Linked DNA regions of Notamacropus eugenii. Each later gene encodes a partner of the first gene's protein in a complex. Links are inferred from orthologs where the notes say so. Each region holds a gene or a part of one and is shown on either strand. Other genes may lie near its edges.

What was found.
Region 2: NHP2 (region 1) and NOP10 share a complex: the UniProt entries of both Homo sapiens proteins name them as parts of the H/ACA small nucleolar ribonucleoprotein (H/ACA snoRNP) complex. The link is inferred for Notamacropus eugenii from reciprocal best matches to the Homo sapiens genes NHP2 and NOP10.

What each region holds. Positions count from the first base shown.
Region 1 is NC_092872.1:414,756,240-414,765,961, forward strand, and holds NHP2 (H/ACA ribonucleoprotein complex subunit 2), read right to left. Parts: upstream 4,976-9,722; 5' UTR 4,943-4,975; coding exon 4,780-4,942; intron 4,620-4,779; coding exon 4,550-4,619; intron 3,113-4,549; coding exon 3,007-3,112; intron 2,752-3,006; coding exon 2,626-2,751; 3' UTR 2,409-2,625; downstream 1-2,408. Other genes in the region: E3 ubiquitin-protein transferase RMND5B, read left to right, coding at 166-268, 351-505, 1,070-1,133. UniProt on the Homo sapiens protein: Required for ribosome biogenesis and telomere maintenance. Part of the H/ACA small nucleolar ribonucleoprotein (H/ACA snoRNP) complex, which catalyzes pseudouridylation of rRNA.
Region 2 is NC_092878.1:17,204,705-17,215,119, reverse strand, and holds NOP10 (H/ACA ribonucleoprotein complex subunit 3), read right to left. Parts: upstream 3,645-10,415; 5' UTR 3,442-3,644; coding exon 3,388-3,441; intron 2,051-3,387; coding exon 1,910-2,050; 3' UTR 1,361-1,909; downstream 1-1,360. Other genes in the region: NUTM1 (NUT family member 1), read left to right, coding at 6,602-7,296, 9,605-9,733. UniProt on the Homo sapiens protein: Required for ribosome biogenesis and telomere maintenance. Part of the H/ACA small nucleolar ribonucleoprotein (H/ACA snoRNP) complex, which catalyzes pseudouridylation of rRNA.

The sequences.
Region 1 (9,722 bases):
GTTGTCAATGTGTGCATTGTTCTTTTGTCAATTCCCTCATTTTAGAGGAAGGTGAGGCTCAGAGGGGAAGTGACTTGCCCAAGATCACCCAGCCAGTAGGTGGCAAAGCTCAAATTCAAACCTAGGTCTTGTGACTCAGAGCACTAAGCTTTTTCCTTTCTGCAGCTTTGCCTCTGGGTGTGTGGCACTGCCCGTGTTAATGAACATCAAAGCAGTGATTGAGCAGAGACAGTGCACGGGAGTCTGGAGTCATAAGGACGAGCTGCCTGTAAGTCCTGGCTGGACATGATAGGGTGGCAGCTACAGGGAGCGGAGCAGGGATGGAGCTCAGCGATGCCTTTTCTCCATAGATTGAGATTGAACTGGGCATGAAGTGCTGGTACCACTCTGTGTTTGCCTGCCCCATCCTTCGCCAGCAAACTTCAGATTCCAACCCGCCTATCAAACTCATCTGTGGTCATGTCATCTCTAGGGATGCTCTCAACAAGCTCATTAATGGAGGAAAGTAAGTTTTATTTTATCTCCTCTGAGAACATGAACTTGTGTTAGATAGCTAGTGCAGCATAAATTCACTTCAAAACTGATTGTCTACTGTATGCAAGGCCCTGTGGCAGGCATTGAGGATTAAATGTGACATAGGCCCCCCTCTTAAAACACTTTTATAATATGGGAAGCACAAGTATACCAACCACCATGATACAAAAGAGAGTGAGAGGTCCAGGCAAGATGTTATGAAAAATTGAAGGAGATAGAGATTCCTTGCACCTGGGCTTCAGTAGACAAGAATTGGGGATAGAAGGAATATGTCAGCCTCACAAAATTTGTGAAGGTAAAATAGTATGAAATAAAGCTAGAAAAGCAGGTTGGAACCAGATTATGGAGGGACTTGAGTGTATTATATTTTTATTTTGTAGGCTCTCCCTTGCCTGTTTTTGAGTAAAGGAGTAGTATCAGAACCTTGTGTTAGGGAAGCTTGTGGAGGCTGGATTGGAGATGGGAGGATCAACTGCAATATTGACAGATGTTCTGTTTCTGGTCTCTGAACCTTTGCTGTTTTCTCTTTCCTCAGACTGAAATGCCCTTACTGCCCTATGGAGCAGAACCCAGCTGATGGCAAACGTATCATATTCTGATAACAAGGAAGTCAGCTCTTTTGGTAAAGGGGATGTTCCCAATATGCCTTGGCTGGTCTTCCGTAGGGCAGATGAGACCCAGAGACAGACATGCTGTGATAGCCCTGTCCATGGTGTTTTGAAAAGCTGACTGAGAACAGCACCACATAGGAGGAGTTGGGGGGGCAAGGTCCTTTTGTTAGACCCAAAACATCTGTGACTAAGGAAGATGTGTGGTTTGGGGGTGTTTCTTCACTTTGGCTGTTGTCTGTTAAGCAGAGAACTGAGTTCTGGTGGACGGCTGCAGGTTGGGTACAGACACTGTTATCCCTGCTCCAGCACCTGATGCCTTTCCTTGTTCTGTTCTCCCTAAGCCCACTTATCTTATATGCACCCCTGTGCCAGTTGTTTTGCTTAATGTCTGTTTAAGGTAGCCACAAACATATAACATCAAGATATATTGCTCCACCTCCTTCCCCTTGTTATCTTGCACTGCAGTTTGTGTATCTAGATCTAGCTCTACAATCTTAGGTCTGCCCAAGTGTGGTGCCAGTCACTTACTACTGTACAGTGTTTCAATTGTATTTACCAGTTTTACAATGTAAATAGCCTAGGCAGACTTGGATGCAGCTGTTTTATAACTGAACAAATAAATCACTTGCCTTCTCTGTAATTACTCTCTCTTTGCATTTCACTTAATACCAAAGATTGGGGATTGCATGGGTAAGAAGACTACCTGCTGGGCCACTGGCTGCCTCACAGCTGATTGAAAAAAAAGCAAATGTATCAATAAGGCCAAAGGAAAAGAAAATCTGTTTTAGCCAGAAGAGCTCAGCTTTTGGGGGCAGAAGGGATGCAAGCAACCTCTTCTGATAAACCTTTTCTTCCTTGGAAGGCACTTCAAATTAGCTCCATGTGAAGGTATTAGGTGACCCAATTTTAAACAAAATTGGGATGCAGCAAAGTGCTATGATGCTGCCAACTATTGGTACATTTACTATGACTTGTTTTTGAAGACCTATTTCAAGCTTTGTAGGGTGTCTTGATGTACTACCCCTATTTGCTAGGTTCTAGTAAGACTCTGGAGTCTGAGCTCTCTCTAATGAGTAGGAACTGGAGGCAGAGGCCTTTCCCTGGGGCTTGCTCATTTTAGGGGTGGTGATGGTGGAGGCAAGGATTCCATTAGTCTTTCAGAATGGTATGTCAGCATTTTTCATTGGTTCCAGTGTTCCATACTTGGAAAAAAAAAAAAAATGAAACCAGAACCCTCCTACCTCCCACACAAACTACTAGAAATTATTTTTTCAAAACTTTATTTTACTGCTTAGTAGCAAACAGCCTTGACAACCACAATGTTACTGGCCAAAGTGAAATTACTGTTTGAGCTATCATAAAAAAAAAAAAACCTCTGGGAATGCCGGCAGGGAGATGATGGAGGGCCAGGCACAATGAAGCAGTCTTTTTCAGTCAAGAAGGGTCTACCAAATAATCATGAACTTCACACTACTTTTCTTTACAAGGGGACCGGAAGAGATTCTACTTCCTCCAGGCAGTCATCATATGTAGCCTGGTAGTCCTCATGTGGTTTAATCATGATCACGCAAGTTGGGCGCTTAGAGCCAGCAGCTGCTCCCAGATCCTATAAGATGGAAATAAAAGGGCTAGTTTTTCTTAAAATTTCTTTTAAAAGATTATTACTTGCTAAGTAACTTCAAATAATCATCATTGACAACTCGGAAATACCTCTTCAGAGGTTCAGGAATAAACACTTATCAGGACTAAGTCAGGAGACCTAAATTAACGTTATTCCTGTCTCTAAAATATCTTATTTTCACATGCTTTTATACTGCTAAAACAGGCAACATTGCAGACAGCAACTACAAAAAGTTCTTACCGTTTTCGAGGGAACATAGGCATAAGGCATACTCAGATCCTCACACATAATGGGGAGATGGCAGTATACCTCGATGGGTAATGTATCCCCAGCCAAAACCATAATCCTGTAATGAAATGAGTCATTTGTGTTTTCATCTTCTGTTAGAATGAAAAATTCTTAACTTGGAATATCTCTAGTCAAGAGGTTTTTTTTTAAGGGCAGGGACAGAAGGGGGTTAAGGACATGCATAATTCTTGGGTATTATGCTTGTGAAAAGTGCAATGGAAAGAATGGTTCCAGCTCCAGCCCTAACTTTTCAGACCTTGAACAAGTTACTCTTCCTTTCCGGCTCTCAGTTTTTTTGTTCTGAAATTCAGGGATTGGGCTAAATGCTAAAGGACTCTCCATGACTTTATCTTGGTGTTGAAACCTGAATGTATGGGGTTACTTTCTCTACTGCAGATCCCAACTCACTAGTAGGCAATGTTATTGATCCACCCCCAATACACCTTTTTTTAAAAAAATAATTTGTCTCTCCCACAATCTCCCTCCCACTGAACAATAAAAAAACCCTTGTCACAGGTACCCACAGTCCAGCAAAACAATTCCCACCTTAGCTATGCACCAAAATGAGTGTCTGTCTGCATTTTTAGCTCTCTTGCAGGAATCGAGTAGTGTATTTTATCAAGCTTCTGGACTTACAGTTTATCGTTGCATTGGCCAGAGTTCTAAAGCCTTTCAAAGCTTTTCTCTGCAATGTTGTTTTCAAATAAACTGTTACAATTTTGCTCACTGTGGTAAAACATCTGCTTGGTAATTATCAGGGATTAAGTTTTATAAAGTAAGGTGACATACTCAACTTCCTCTGACAACCAAAACATAATATGCCTTTTTGGAGACAATTTGACTCGTAAAAATAGTCCCTGACGTATGTCCTTTCTTCATTGCTAGACTGGGGACGGCAGGATAATACATTTAGATCTCTGAAGCCAACCCCCACATTCTAAAGATGAAGCAGTTGATGCTCAGGGCATTGAAGTAGCGTTCAGAGTCACAAGCCAGTTAAGTGTCCAGGTAGGATCCGAGAGGCCATTTCCTTGGCTGGATCCAGCAGTCCTGACTAGTCCAGGTCGCCTCTCATGGCTTACTCATCTGTGTATTTCACACAGTAGGCACTCAGTGAATATGTGATGGCGGAATGGAAAAAAAGAAGGCTGAGAGTTTTAATTTGCTCACCTGTGTGGAGTGCACTATTACTAAACCAGCCTGGTTTCTGGAGGAAGGCCTGAGAGAAACGCCAGGCATGGAGGAACTTCCATGGTAATGCTACGCTGAGACAGCTAGGGTTGGAGTCGGAGACACACGAGCGCAAAGCGTGCCTCAGACGTTAGCTGGGAGACCCTGCGCAGGTCACTTAACCTTGTCGGGAATAACAGCACCTACCTTAGGGGGCTGTCAGCGAGGTTCAAACAACGTGTGCAAAGCCCTTCGCAAACCTTAAAATCCTATATAAATGTTGGCCTTTATCACGTCTAAGACGCAGGGGGTCGTCGGCGCTTACCCCTTTTCCCCTTTGTTAAGGAATTTCTGAACTTCCTTCACGCCTCGCCGGATCTGCTTCTGCTTCACGGCTGGAAGGATCGGAAGAGTCAGTTCTGAGCCTGCCCCTCTCACTCCTCGGCTTCCCCATTCTTTCTGCCCGACTCCCTCCCTTCTCCCTCGGCTTCCTCCTCGGCTCCCCCTTCTTTCCCCACAGCCACAAACGCAGCTTCTCCGTCCTCCCCGGCCCACCTTTCTTGATGCACTTGTACAGTTTCCGAGTCAGGCGGCGGGACGCCAGGGGCTGCGCAATGGGGTTCAGGTTCGACAGCATCTCCTCGTAGGTGCGCTCAGGAGCCCCGGAGCTTTCCGGCGCCGCCTCCGACTCCTCCACTTCCCGCTTTACTTTGGTCATCTTCACGGTACCGCCGGCTCCCGAGGTCGCAAGCTTCGGATGCTCCCAAAGCACGAGCGAGCCACCGCTAGAACGACTTCCGGGTTATGCGGCCGCGCCCCGAGCGAACTCGGCGACGTCACGGTCTCCAGGCAATCTGAAGCGAGGCACAGGGAAGTTCCCGCCTCCCGCCCCTTCTCAACCAATTGTCGTGGCGTCTGGATCTCGCGGCTGTGGCAGCGGGCCGGAGCTCCAAGGCAAGCTGGGAGGAGGGCAGGCTCCAAAGCTCCTGGAGCCGGGAGGCGGGGCCCGGGGATGGAGGAGGAGCCAGAGGCTTAGGTTCGAGGCGGAGCCCAGCGTGGAGGGAAATGGGAGGAGGGAACAGAGTGAAGTGAGGAATGAGTCTCGGGAAGAGGCTTGAGTTGTGGAGCGGTACAAGGTGCTGGAGACTAGTGCGGGGCAGTACTTGGGTCTGGGACGGCAAGGAAGCCACTCCCGTGGAGAGGAAAGGGCCGCATTCTGGATCCTGGGAAGGCGAGGGGCGGAGCTCTTGGTCATGAAGGGGTGTGGGCTCTGGAACTATTTAGGAAAGTAGCCCTGAAGCGCTGAGGGTCCTTTTCCCGGTCACTGACGGGGAGGAGGCGGTGCCAGGAAGTGGATTGGGCCCTGAGCCACCGAGGGGGCGGTTTCATGGGGGTTCAGGACCGGCAGGGCCTTCTGGTCTGGAGAAGAGATAGGACTTGAGGCAGTAGAGGGCGGGGTCCAGAAAGGGGTAAGACTTGCAGGAGGTCCCAGGGAAGCGGATAGGGCTCCGAGGCAATAGGGGGCGGGGTCAAAGTGGGGCGTGGCCTTCCAGAGGTGTTTGGGGAGGAATAGGGTCCTGAGGCAATAGGGGGCGGGGCCAAAAGTCAGCGTCTGGGGTGGGATTGGGTGCGGGGGGAGTAGGGGGCGGAGCTCCGAGGGGGCTGGATCGAGTTGAGTGTTAGACTCAGCGCCGAGGTGTTAGCGGAGCTCAGGCGTCCTGGGGTCTGGTGGCTAGCATATTCCTGCCTTAACCTTGCTTCTGGGATATGATAATTTTTCCCTCCCGAGCATCCTTCTTGGCCTCTTCCTCCTGGCACCCTCTGCTCTTGAGGCAGGATGAGGTGGCCTGTCTAGTGGTGGCGCCTCTGCGACCTGCTGGGCTGGACTTGCCGGGTGCGCCGGGAGCCCTGAGCGTCCTCCCTTCCCGGCCAGAGCCCGGAGGCTTACTGGACTGCCTGGAATTGACTGAGAATATGGGGCTCCTAGTTCTCTGCCACCTATACCCCATGGCTTCAGTGTGGGTTTGTGCCCCCGAACCCTGAAAGGAAGTTTCCCTGGTCCGTTTGGCTTTCTGTGGTTTCCCGGTCCCAAAGAAAGACGCATCTGTTTGTTTCTTCCTTACCTGGAAGGGACTGTGTCTCCGGGTCAAGACTGATAAAAATGCGCATCACACGTCTTTTCACCACTTTGGGTGAGTCATATTGCTCCACTCCCGGATTTGCCGTTTATCATTTGACCGAGATTTAACGGTTTTGTGCCTCAGTTTACTCATCTGTAAAATCAGTTTGACTAGATGATCTCTGAAGGACCCTTCCACGTTAGCTTTAGGCTGTGACGCTAATTAATAATATCCCAATATGAAATGAACTGCTCCTGGAAGTTCGGAGTTGCTAGTTACTTATTAGACTTAAAAGCTTATGAGATTGAATGAACCTCCTGTTGAAGTAATGTAGAGAGGAATTCTGAACTGGGGGCATAATTGGATTAGCCGACCACCTAGAGCACTTCCAGCTCTATATAAATGAATGCTTGAAATCCATGTACTTGTGAAGCCTCCCCATTCTTCTTCCCCAATTAAGGGCAACAATAACTTAACTAGTTGAGAAATATATATTTAAAGAAGGATTGTAAAACACTTTACTAGCCATATATTTTAGGCTAGTGAAACAATGACAGGAATGTAAAAGTGGAGTAAACCTATTGTATATGGGAAATATTTCACATATTCATCAAGGCATTCTTGTAGAAGAGGTCACAATCCATGAAGTCTATGAGGTAGTGCTTGCCACATAATAGCTACTGCAGTAATGACTTGAGTTGAACTGAGTAGAAGGTGAGAGGGTCAGTGCAACTTGACTTGTTTTAGCCAGACACTTATGAGCTGATTGTTAAAGATCCATAAAAACTTGAGGTCTTAATTTAAAGCCTTATTAACTAGAGTCTCCTTTTTCTCCACCACTTAGAGTAAAAAGAAAAGTTATGGGATTTCACAGGAGAGGAAAAAGGGGAAAAGGAAAGAAATGAAGGTTTAGGCAAAGAATGACATTTTTGAGTTTCCTGCTGTTAACTTCATCATGGTATAATTTTTTCTGCTTTTGTTTATCTCTTTAATTGATCCACATATAGCTATGTGAATGAATTTTCAGACAAAGGAATTACTTGGTTTATAAAGACGAACTTCAGGATGCTTTTGCAGGAGTTTGCTATGAAATTTACCATTCTTTGCTTTCAGAATATCTTTTTTGTTTTTTTGTGGAGGTGGGTGGGAGGAAAGAGGGGGGAAGGTCCTTATACTGTTTAGAAAGTGATTTGCTAGAGAATTTGGGAAATGGTGATAAGGAAGTGTTTGTACTTCAACAATTCAAATATCTGGGGCTTTATGGGTATAAGTTGTTCACCCATCTCATCTGTATCTGACTCCTTGTGATCCCATTTGTGGTTTTCTTGACAAAGCTGCTGGAGTGGTTTGCCATTTCCTTCTCTAGCTCATTTTACAGTTGAGGAAATTGAGGCAAAAGGGTTAAATGACTTGTCCTGGGGCACACAGTTAATAAATGTCCAAGGTCAAATTTGAACTCAGGTCTTCCTGAATCCAGGCCTGGGGCTTTATCCACTGCCACCTAGCTGCCATAGGTGTGAGTACTTCTGCTAGTACATATCAAAACCCTCAGCAGCCTTGGACAATCTTAATGAATTGATATGGCTGAAAAATTCATTCATTTAATAATGGATCAACAAACTCTGGTTTTGAACTTTTCTATAGTTAGCTTGTCTGTTGATTTGCAGACAGACTTGGTATGACATTCCAGAGGCTTGAGCTCTGTTGACATATAACTTTGAAGAACCCAGGATTACCTCCTTTGGTCCCTTATTATGACACAATGGACTTTAATGAGGGTGAGGGGAAAAGATTTTTGGAAGTGCTGGTAAGATGGTGAGAAGATTAAGATTGATCCTGTATCACTTATTTATTGATCCTATTTACAATTACCTGTAACTGTTTTTGTCCTGTAATTGTTTAAATCATGATTCTTTGTTTCTGAACTTAGTTCAGAATTTAGCTGGCCTGTAATGGGTTAATTTAGAAATCCAGCTCCCTGTTAATCACTGATCTGCTCTTGCCACAAGGAATTTAGCTGACCTTGGGGAATGCTTGTAGAGAGTTCTGACTAATATCTATACACCAAGCTATCCTTTAAGGATGTCTGCTTTGCATCTAGACTCTTGAGAGGGAAGGAATGGGGTTGTTGCTAGTTCAAATTACCAAACTTCCAACCTTTCATGTTGCTCTTGACCATATGCTGTCACCTACCCAGTTCTGTTTTTTGTTCTGTATTCCTCAAAAACTATAAAGGGGGAACTATCCTTTTGCTCAGGGTCTTTGGCATAGATGAAGACAATCCATCGACCCATTTATTGACAGGCAGCAAGCCCCTGTTAACAAATGTTATCTTGCTTATAGAATTGCCTCAGTTTACCCTTTTGTTAAATTTCAATCATGACAGTGATAATAATTGTTGAGGTGTACAGTATTGTATGGTTTATAAAACACTTCACATATGTTCTCATTTAATCTTCACAACAAAATTGTGAGGCAGGTAATATCTTCAAATTAGGAAAATGAAGGGCTCAGCTAATAATCGGTAGAACAGGCACTCAGGCCCAGGTCTTATGATTCAAATCTAGTATTCTTTCTGTAGCTGCCTCTTGAGAATTAGATAACCAACTTCATCAAGTTACTGGATTCTTGACTCTCCTGGTCAGAAGATGGACCTGACACTTGGACCAGGGTACCTTTCATATCATCTTACTATGGCAAACAAAACTTAGACATGAGACAGAATTAGAGAACTTACAAATATCTGATTGTGTATGTATGTTTACATACACCTCTTGAACATGTGAAATATTTTTTTTAAACTCAAATTCTTTACATTTCTCTTCACTAACTTTCATCATATTCAATCCAACCCAATGTTCTATCTTGCTATCCAGTGTGTTAGTCATCCCTCCCAGTTCTATGTCATCTGCAAGTTTGGTAAGCTTGCCATTTATGCCTTTAATCCAAGTCATTGATAGCAATTTTAAATTGCCCGGGACCAAGTCCCTGTTCTCTTTACTAGAGATCTCCATCCAGTAAGATACTGAATCATTAATGATTTTACTTTGGTTCTGACTATTCACCCAGTTCTGAAGTTGTGTAACTGTATTATTGTCTAGCAAATGTTTCTCCATCTCTTATATCAGAGAGCATGAGATATTCTCCCCTCCTTATATAAAGTAATAAATAGATAAAAAAAGGTGTGTGTGTGTGTATGTTGTGTGTGTGTGTGTGTGTGTGTGTGTGTGTAGTTACTCTGGCATGATGTGCTCTTGCTAAAGTCATGTTGACTCTCTTACCACTTCCTTTTCTAGGTGTCCACTAATCAATCATTCAGCAAGCATTTATTAAGTACCTCCTAAGGCCAGGCCCTGTACCAAGTGCTGGAGATAAAGA
Region 2 (10,415 bases), on another chromosome or scaffold:
TCTATCTCATCAGCACTCTTACCTGAATTATTTCTTCCCTTCCTAGTTCTCACTTCAGAGATCTAATTCAAACATCAATCATGTTTTAGTTGTTGTTCAGTGTTTCAGTCACATTCAACCCCTTGTGACCCCATATAGCATTCCTATACTACCCATGGAGTTTTCTTGGCAAAGATACTGGAGTGGTTTGACATGTCTTTATCTAGCGGATTAAGACAGATTAAGTGACTTGCCCAGGGGTTACACAGCTAGGAAGTGTCTGAAGCTGTATTTGAATTCAAATCTTCCTGATTCTAGGCACAGGACTCTATCCACTGAGCTACCTAGTAACCTCCTATTGTTCAGTAAGTATTAGTCATCACTCTCACCTACATACACTTTCAAGGTTGGGTACTTTTTGAGGAACTGGGAGATTAACAAAGGGTTGGCAGGAGGCAAAACCATTCAATTCAAGAATTTGGATAAATAAGGATAGTCAAAAAACTTGTGTCTTCATATTTTCTGTTGGGGAGTGACTCAAATATTCTTCACTAAGTGCAGAAAAGCAACAAGGTTATCCTTTTGTCTATAAGACGTAAATGCGAAGACACAGTCTGCAAGACTAGGTCAACTTGTTAACCTCATCGTCTTCCTCAAAAGAACCATCTAATGCTTTGACTGTGACAGTGGGTTGTCTTGAGGTCTACAAACAGTGAGAGGAAGATCTCCTGGTTTAATAAAAAAGACTTTAGACCATACCCCATCAGAAAAACAGACAAAGAATTAGGTTTTTCAAAGTATGACTCTACTGCTCCTGGAGGTTTCCTTGTACTCCCTGTGCTTAAGTTTTCTTTAGGTTAACACCTCCCAAAAGACATTTGCACTTGTGGGTTTCCCTACATGCAAAGGGAGAGAGGGAAATAAAGTCAAGAATTTTGGGGTTCTACCACAAAGCCCTAAGGTAAATCTTTGTTGTTTACCGTCAGACATGGATTGATCAGAATATTAAAACTTAATTTTTTAATCTTTCTACTTGTTCAACCCTCAACCTGAAAACATTTGTCACAATGTGTGGCTATTCTCTTAAATTGATCTGAGCTTCAGAGGATTCTTTGGTTAAAATTAATCTGTTCAGAAATTAGGAGAAACTGTGAGACTCCAGAGAATAATAGCCCACACATGCCTGGTGCCTTAAGGTGTACAAAAGGTTTTCCTTAGGACAAAGATAACCTCTTTGGTCACTCAGTCCATTCAGAAGACATCTCTCATGGGCACTGCTGTGTGTGCTATGTTGAATATCAGTGTCACTATAGAGGGGAAGGAATTCAAGACTATCCACAGGACTTAAGAATTTAGAGATAAAAGAAACTAGACCATCTAGTCCAATTTGATTAATTTTTACTGAAGAAAATGAGGACTTTTGAATTCCAATGCAAACATGCTAGTATTCTAAAACAATAATAAAAATGGATATTATTTTTTGATCAGAAAAGGGAATAAGCATTTCTATAGCTACTTCATGCCAGGTGCTGTGTTAAATACCTTTTTACAAATATATTCAGATCATCCTGACTCCAGACCTAGTACTCTATCCACTAAGCCACCTGGCTTCCTCTGATCAATTCAAAGACTTTTCTGCCCCCAATTAAAAAGGAAAAATAGATCTCTAAACCATTTCAGTTTTAATAGCCTACAACATTGATTAAAAAGATATGGCAACTTTAGACTTTCATTTTAGCTTGATTGCTACCAAGTACAGAGAGGAACACAGGCAAACTGCAGCTAGATTCTAAGAAGCAAGTGTACAAAGGGCGTCATTTTAAACTTGTGACAATGGGTTAAGAGAGTCAAAGATGTAAGCTCTTCCTGAATGAGGTCTCCTAGATGTAGGACAAGCTTCTTGTGCCAGAGTCCTGGGTGGTTTGGTAATTCAGAGGACCAATCGTGCTTGCTGGGTCATGAGAACCTTGAATCTCTTCTTGATGGTGATACGGTGTCTGGAGTACTTGTCATCTGGGGAGAATCTGGCTGGGTGCGCTGAACAGGTCTGTTGTCCTGCAGGGTCTGTTTTCTGTTAGGAGAACAAAGAGAACCGAATGTGAATTCTCACATCCAACACTGCCACCAGTCTAGTACAGGCCCCTATTACAGCTATGAAGTGATTTTCCTAAAGTACAGGTTTGATCACATCACCCACCTACTCAAACTTCAGTGTAGCCCTATTGCCTCCAGTATCAAATACAAAACGCATTTTTGGCATTCAAAACTCTTTATAACCTAGCCACTACCTATCATTCCAGTCTTCTTATACCTTACTCCCCCCACCACATATTCTTTGATCCAGTGATACTGACCTCCAGGCTATTTGACAAACTTGGCACTCTTATCTCTTGGCTCCAGGAATTTTCTCTGGTATGCCCCATGGGTGGAACACTACCTACTGAAGTCCCAACTGAAATTCTACTTTCTACAGAAAATCTTCCTCAGCCCCTCTTACTTGCAGTGCCTTCCTCCTTGTTATCTCCTATTTATCCTGTACATAGCTTGCCATATATATATATATACACACATTATAAATATACACACACACACATATATTTGTCTACGTTGTCTCCCTCACCACATCGTAAGCTCTTTGAGGGTACAGCTTACTCTATCCCCAGTGTTTAGCACAGTAGGTTTACTGATTATTTTGGAGCAGAACCAGAGAAAAGGTCGAAAAGACTCGGACAGGCAGGGAGGACGAAGCTGTTTATTTCTCCTCATCCATCCCCTCGCCCCAGCCCCAGCATTACCCTGACCAACAGACCAGACCTGGGCTAAGGACGATTAGGTCCCTAGGCTGTGGGTGCCGAGGGTATGCAGGGACAACCTTTTCCTTCCTTCTGTTTCCCACAGCCTTGTGCATAGTAGGTCTTCATGAAGTCTGCTGACTGTGAGGTGAGATACTCAGACGACAAGGTCTGGGATACACGCTGAATTCCGCGGGATTTAGGGCTGGGCGTGGGGAGCGAGCTCCTTCCAAGCGCAAACCCCACCCAACAGCCCCGAGTCCCCCGGCAGCGCCCCCCGGAATCACCACGGGGGGTCCCCGCTGGAGGGGGGGGGCTCTTCTTTTTACACTCTATGCCGGCGCCAAGCACAGGGTCCGGGCACAACGAAGGCTGCCCGCCTCGGCCTCCGTCCTCCTCCTCTTCTCCCTACACGACCCTCTCGGTACAAGGCAGTGACCCGGGCCGGCCGCTCCCCTCCCTCGGCCTCGGCTCCTTCTTCGTTAAAACAATAACGAGGCCCGACGGAGCCGCCGGTAAGAGCGTCTACACAGGCCGCTGCCCAGCTCGGCCGCGCAGGGCGGGAACGGAGCTCCCTCCTGCGTCTCCACCCCCCAAGTGCGCCTCCTCTCCGTACCTTTAGGGTGTAGACCCGATCCCCTTGCTCGTTGAGGTAATACTGCAGAAACATGGCGGCCAATTCCCTTCGCGAGGCGGGCAGGCCACGGGAAGACTCGGCCACAAGCAGGCTTCCACCTCCGCCTTGGCCCGGGAGCGCGGACCCACCCCCCGACCACGTGTTTGTTCCAGGGACACTTCCGGGAAGTAGAGCCCCCGCGGCATGCTGGGAGGTGTAGTCCCCTCCTCTTCTCCTCCTGCCCTCCTGAAGGGGGAGTCCTCGCCCTGGGATTGCACTAGGGAGCGCATCCCTATGCTGGAAGTTGGGAAGGGAGTGGGCTTCGAATGCCAGGGGAGGCCATTAGCCACAGCCCATTCAGGGATGGAGAGGCCGCTGTTTTTGAACCCAGAACTTGAATATCCCTCCCCTGCATGCAAACTGCAATAAGTAGTCCCATGGAAGAAAAGTAGCGCCCAGAGCCTTAGAGGGGCGAGGAAATCCAGGCGCCGAGGGTGCCCAGGCCGCGGCCAGGCCCTGCCCTCCATCTTGTGCGGCTGAGAACATGGAGGCGCAGGCCAGCTCAGGCCCTGGCTCCCCTTCGCCCAGGGGGTAAGTAGAGGCACGAGGGCCGGGGCGCCCAGGCCTGCGCCGCACCCTCCGGGGGTGCAGAGGCGGCCCGGCCAGGTGCACGGGGAGGGGCGCTGCGCTCGGAGGTGGGAGATGGGGACCTGCACCGCCCACTCACCTGGGAGCCGCGGGGGGGACGAGGCTGGAAGGTGCCCCTCCGCCCCCACCACGCACGTGGAGAGCTGGCGAGGACCCGCCCAGCCTCGTGGCCCAGACGTGGAACTGGGGCCGGCCACGTTGAGTGGCTTGCCCATTCAGGGTCGTCGCCTGAGTTGGGTTCTGAATTCAGATCCTCCCCGCCGAGCTCTCCTCCCCCTCTTCCCTAGAACATTCCTCGGCCCCCTGGCCTGGCCCTCACTCTTCCCTCCCTTCCCCCACTGCGTAGAATGCACGGGTTTCCAGGTTCCAGTTCTGTTTTGATTCAATCTTTTCCCTTCTGCTGCCCTCAATTCTTGGGCAGCTACTGTGACCAGGTGGCCTTCTGGGCCCTGGCCCTGACCCTTGTGCCATCCTGGAGGCTGCTAGGCAGCCCCGATTAGTGCCCAAGCCAGAGGGTCCAGTCCCAGATGGAGGTGAGCGGAGCTGGGGGCCTCTCACAAAGATCCGTGCCCCCTATCCCCTCGAGCCCCAGGGAAAGAAATTTGGGACTGTAGCCCTGGGGATCACCTTTGTGACCTGCACTGTGGGACCCAAGAGGAAGACAGACCAATGAATCCATCCCATGCTCAGGCAACAGACCCGGGGAGGTTGGGGAACCAGTTTGGAGCCTTGGGGTTCACAGAGCCAGCCTCTTCAGAGCTGATTTGGGATGCCTTGGAGGAACTGAGCCAGGGAGCTCTGAGTTGAGAGAGAAGACCCACTAGCAGATTGACTTAAATAGGCAAGAAGCCTCCAGTCACTAGGCATTAGCCACCTTAAAGAAGGACAAAAGGACTTAGTAGAATTAGGTCTAACACTTACGTCCTTCTTTCTGGCAGAGACCCTGTTTTCCCAAGTTTTTGCTTTAGAAATTGATATTTCAGCAGGGATATATTCAATCAGAGAGGACAGAGGGAATTGGATGGAAAAGACTTTTGACAGAAATTTGGCCAGAGTGGTCCTCTTTTGCAGAGGCATGCCCTGAACCTACCAAGAGACTAGGAGGCTTGGGGAGAACCTCAAAACAATACCCCCTCCCCCCTTTCCCCATAGATTAATATAGAATACAATAACTGCCCTAGGGTTGAATACCTCAGTTTCCTTGACACCTAGAAACCTCTGTTTTTGTTTGCCCAGGGAACTTCTGGAACTTGTTTCTTGCATTTATCAGGGGCTGAAGGTTGGGGAGTATTGGGGAGGTGGTTAATACATAGTTATTCAACCACAGCTGGAACATAGGCAGTACTGATTTACTCTGAGTTGTTTCATCTATCCTAGGATCCTAGGCCCTCTAACCCATTTCATCTTGTTCCCTCCCTCTTTCTGTTATGGCTAGCATGTCCTGACCCTTCCCTGCTTGTCATCAGAGTGATGAGCTTGTCTACCATCATCCATGACTCCATGATCTTATTTTATGGTCAGGGAGGTAAACTGTGTGTGAGTTTCACGTCGTTTGTGGGATAAGGTGGATTGTTAAATTCTTGTTATTATTAAATGGAGGCATCTCCTTAGAAGGCATCTTATGTATTATATGTGGTGTTATATTTTCTTGTATTCCCAGTGCCTTGTGCCTCGGAAGTGCTCAATAATTACTTGTTAATTTGAAAGCCCTTGTCCTTTCCATTACTGAAGGAATAACCTAGGTAAACGATAGAGAGAATCAGAATCAGTGTTAGGAGCAACTGCCACACTTCACGGGGTCTATCTGCTAGCTCTCTGAAGCGTAAGAAAACCTGTCATTTTTATCCACCTAGTCTACTACTACCTCCTTTTGACTAGTTTTTACTCCTCTGGAGTGGAGAATCTCTAGGAATCTGTATGGGCTTCCCCTCCTTACCTTAAGAAGATTCTAGAAGGAAGATTATTAAGTGGCTAGAGATGGCTGGGAGTAGGGGGAATGTCTCTGATTTTACTTCTATAAGCAGAAATGAATGAGTTGTTAATTGGAATGAGAGTTTTAGGGATAAATTGGTTATGGCTATAGAACTTTTTTTATTGTACTTTTAGATGAGAAGAGGAATAGGGGACTTAAAAAAAGGAGCAAGGAGATGAAAAAGGGGAGGAATGAAGAAACAGGGCCAGGAACCTCTCTCAATTGATCTCTAATTTAGGAACACCAAAGGAGCCTAGGGAAGGGCCAGATTCTAGATTCTCCCATCAGATGCTCAACCTCCTAGTTGGGGACATACTTTGAGTTGTTATCTCCTGCATGTCAACCCTGTTCTATGTCTTGGGACACCACACAGTGGAGGTAGACTTCTAAGAATATCCTTAAAGAAGTTGTCAGTGATATTGTAGACATTTTTTTTTATTGGACTGGTAAAGATGTTTACCCTATGAATTAGGGGACCAGCTCTGCAATGTATCAGGGTCCAAAGGGTCCCCAGATGTTGAGGCCTCTAGCTGCCTCATTTCCTGCTCCAATCCCTCCTTTTTCTCAACAGCTCCTTCATTGTCTGGACCTGAAATGACCCCGAAGCCTGGCCCTGTCCCACCCTGTACTTCACTTCCATTACCCCCACCCCCTCCAGGACCATCAGACAAGCCTCTCTGGGAGCCACCACCTCAAACTCCCATTTCTTCACCATTCCCACCGGGTAGCCCCCTGGTTCTGTCTGCTTTCCCTAGTACATTGCTGGTGACAGGGGATGGGGGAGCAGGCCCTAGCGGGGGTGGGGCTGGTAAGGTCATCGTCAAAGTCAAGACAGAGGGGGGCCCATCTGAAGCCCCCCGAACTCAGACCTTTATCCTCACTCAGACTGCCCTCAATTGGATTGCCCCAGGTCCTCCCCGTGGGGGCCCTGAAGGCCCCACTCCCCGGTTCCTGGCAGCCACCAATGTCAAGACCATTCTTCTTGCTAAGGCTGTTGGGGTGGCCCAGGCTGGTGAAGGAGAGGGACCCCCTACCCATCCTCCCCTGGCCCCACCACCCACCGCCCAACTAGCTCCAATTATACCCCCAGAAAAGGCTTGGCGGGGGCCAGATGGGACTCCTGGGGAGGGAGGTCCACCTCCACCTTGTCCCAAACCCTCTCTGGGTGACCTTTCCTGCACCTCCAAGGGTGTTTATGAGAACTTTCGTCGCTGGCAACGCTACAAGGCACTGGCCCGGAGACACCTGCCCCGGAGCCCTGATGCAGAAGCGCTTTCCTGCTTCCTCATGTGAGTGCTTGCTTTTGGAGTTACGCTTGTAGACTCCTTCAGACTTTTTATTCTTGGAAGGAAGAGTCAGGAGAAGCCTGATGGATTATAGACTAAAGTTGTTTGGAAATATCCGATGGTAGGTCAGGGGCCACAGTGCAACTTCCCAGAAAAAAGATAGTTCCTTCACATTCATTTGTAGGCAGAGCAGTTAAAATGGGTCAGCAGGACAGGGATATTCCTAAGGGGATGAGGGTCTGTAAACAAAAAACACTTTGTGCCTTTAGCTTCTATTTATACTGTGTGATCAAGTTTAAATAACCATCAAGGGCAGCCTTGAAAGGGAAAAAAGGTCGCAAGAGGGTGGCATACATTCTAGGAGATATATAGATATACATCTATATATATATTTTATCCTCACAACAAGCCTGTGAGGTAGGTGCTGTTATCATCCCTATTTCCCACTTGAAAAAACTGAGGCAAATAGAGGCTAAGTGACTTGTCCAGGGTCACATATCTGAGGCAGGATTTGAATTCAGGTCTTCCTGATTCCAGGCCAGAGCAATAACTATTTCTCTATCCAGCTGCAAAATTTATCGAAAGTAATGTTGGTGGGTACTAGCAGCTAGAAGAAATCAGGAAAGACTTCATTTGGAAAGGGAGCTAAGGATTTTAAGAGAGAAAGTTAAGGAGGGTATGCGTTCCAGGCATGAGAAATGCCCTCTGCAAAGGCATAGATGTAGGAGTACCAACAGACTTGGGCTGCTGAGTCTTCTTCATTTTGCTGACAAAAAAGTGGGTTGAACAGACCAGAAGCATCTAGAAGGTTCCTGTCCCTTCCAAAAAAATGTGCTTGATACATATTCCTTAATTTATGCTTCATTTGTGTTAACAAGCTTTTGCTTAAGATTCAAATGCTCTTGTCAGAATTAGGCTTATCAGTGAGTCATGCCTTATTATGAGTTATCTTAATTATATAATTAGGTTATTCAAGCGTAGCGACGGATAGTGTGCTAGACCTGGAATCAGGAAGTCCTGAGTTCAGTTCCTTCCTCAGAGCAATTACTAGCCCTGTGACCCTGGTCAAGTCACTTAACCTCTGCCTGTCTCAGTTTCCTCATCTGTAAAATGGGGATAATAATAGCATCTATTTCCCAGACATTGTGAAGTCAATGAAGTAATATTTGTAAAGTGTCATCATCCTCATCCTCATCCTCATCACTCCCAACATCCCTAAGATCATCACATTAAGGAAATGGGAGTTTTGAATGGGGAAGGTGTCGGGATGGGAGAGGTCATTTTTGAGTGTAGGATGCTATTTAGGAGGCGGGCTGGCTTATAGTAAGTAGGGTGTTATACTAGGGTGCCTTGGGCCACTAGAAAACAGCATGAGGGTAGTAAGTCCTTGAGGTTGGGAGTGCAGTGAGAAAAAGGGAAGTTCAGGAAACTGGGAGGAAGGCACAAAAAGGGAAGCAGAGCAACACTGATAAGCTCTGCAGTCACTATTCCTGACCTGTGAAAGGTGTCCCATGTGCTGTATGTTGCCTGTTCAAGCTTTCAGGCGTCTGGGCTTAGCTACTCCTGAAAAGCTTTTGTAATGATCGATACAAAGATGTTAATTAGGTCTGAAGGCATGTCAGCCACAAACATGTGGTTGCTTCCTTCACCAACAGACTGCAAACCCACTATACCTCTGTGGACAGCTTTATGAGTTCCTGTGAGTCCCCCAAACATCATCATCTGGTGGGAAGTCTGGCAATGAGCCTCTCCAAATTTAGCTAGGCCAACCCTCGGTTAACGGGATCTGTACTTAAGCTCTTCCAGCTTGGAGAGTTTGGGGACAGCTTTAGAGAACCTATGTAGTACTAGAGTAGAATTTGAGTGGTCTCTCTCTGTCTCTTTTTGTCTCTTTGCCTCATCGTCTCTCTGTCTTTTATGCCACAGCTCCTCAAATCTAGCAGCTGTTCCATCACAGGTTCTGTGTGATAAATTAATTAATCAAAAAGCTTTTAATGCCTGCTGTGTGTTGGGGATACGAACACAGAGAATGAAACAATTCTTACTGTGTACTGAATGTACACACATTCTGAAAGATTTGCCCAATTTCTGATAGAGCAAGGGATGGATGGGGAAGGAATTACCATGTCTGATTGGATGTGGGCTGTGATAGAGACAGAGAGATGAGTGAGATCTGATGGGGATGGGAAGGTAGACGGTGGATGAAAGGAGTGAGTGTGAAGTGAGTAGGTGCCAGGATAGGTGTATGTGTAAAAGGGTCATGATGGGGAGAAGCCTAAGTAGGATGTGACAAGAATAGGGGTGTTTTTAGCCCAGTGCTTCGTTCCTTGGCCCGGCTAAAGCCAGCTATGACCCTGGAGGATGGACTGCCACGGGCGGTGCAGGAGTGGGAGCGAAGTAGCAACTTTGACCGAATGATCTTCTACGAGATGGCAGAAAAGTGAGTTTGACCTTTGTTCTCTTGACTGAGGAGGGATTTATGGTAGGGATCATTTGATGGGATGACTATGGGTGGGGTGGGCATGAGTCCAGGGAATCTCATGGCAGATTGGTATCCTCAGGGTATGTGATAGGGCAGAACAGATGTGGGAATGACAGGAAGTCTCATGGGTGCTTGGTGTCCCACCCCTCTTATCTTGCAGCACGTTCTCAGCCTAATGCCTTCTCTTGTTAGATGTTCCTGTTGTATCCATTATTTTACCCATCATGAGCTTCTCTCAGGATAGGCTGATTTATAACCCTTTCCCACCTACCTGCTCTGTATCTCCAACTAGATTCCCCCAGTCATCTCCAACTGAACTCACAGCTGGGAGAGCTTAGGCTCTCTTTCCTCCCAGATCCCTCTTTCCAGTTCTCCCACTCACTGGGGTGTGAAATCTCAAGGGAATCTGTGATTCCCTTCTTTCCCACATTCCCTACATCCAGTCAGGTACAGTGTTTGCTCAGTTTTGCTTCTACGACACCTCTTGCATCTGTGCTCTTAACGCATGCTGGTACCATTCTGGTTCACCCTAGTTCAGTTGTATCATTACTTCAAGAGAAAATTTTATTGTTGGCTCTTACATTTTATAACAATCATTTCCCCTTCTTCCTCCATGAAATCAAACCCTTCTTTGTTAGAA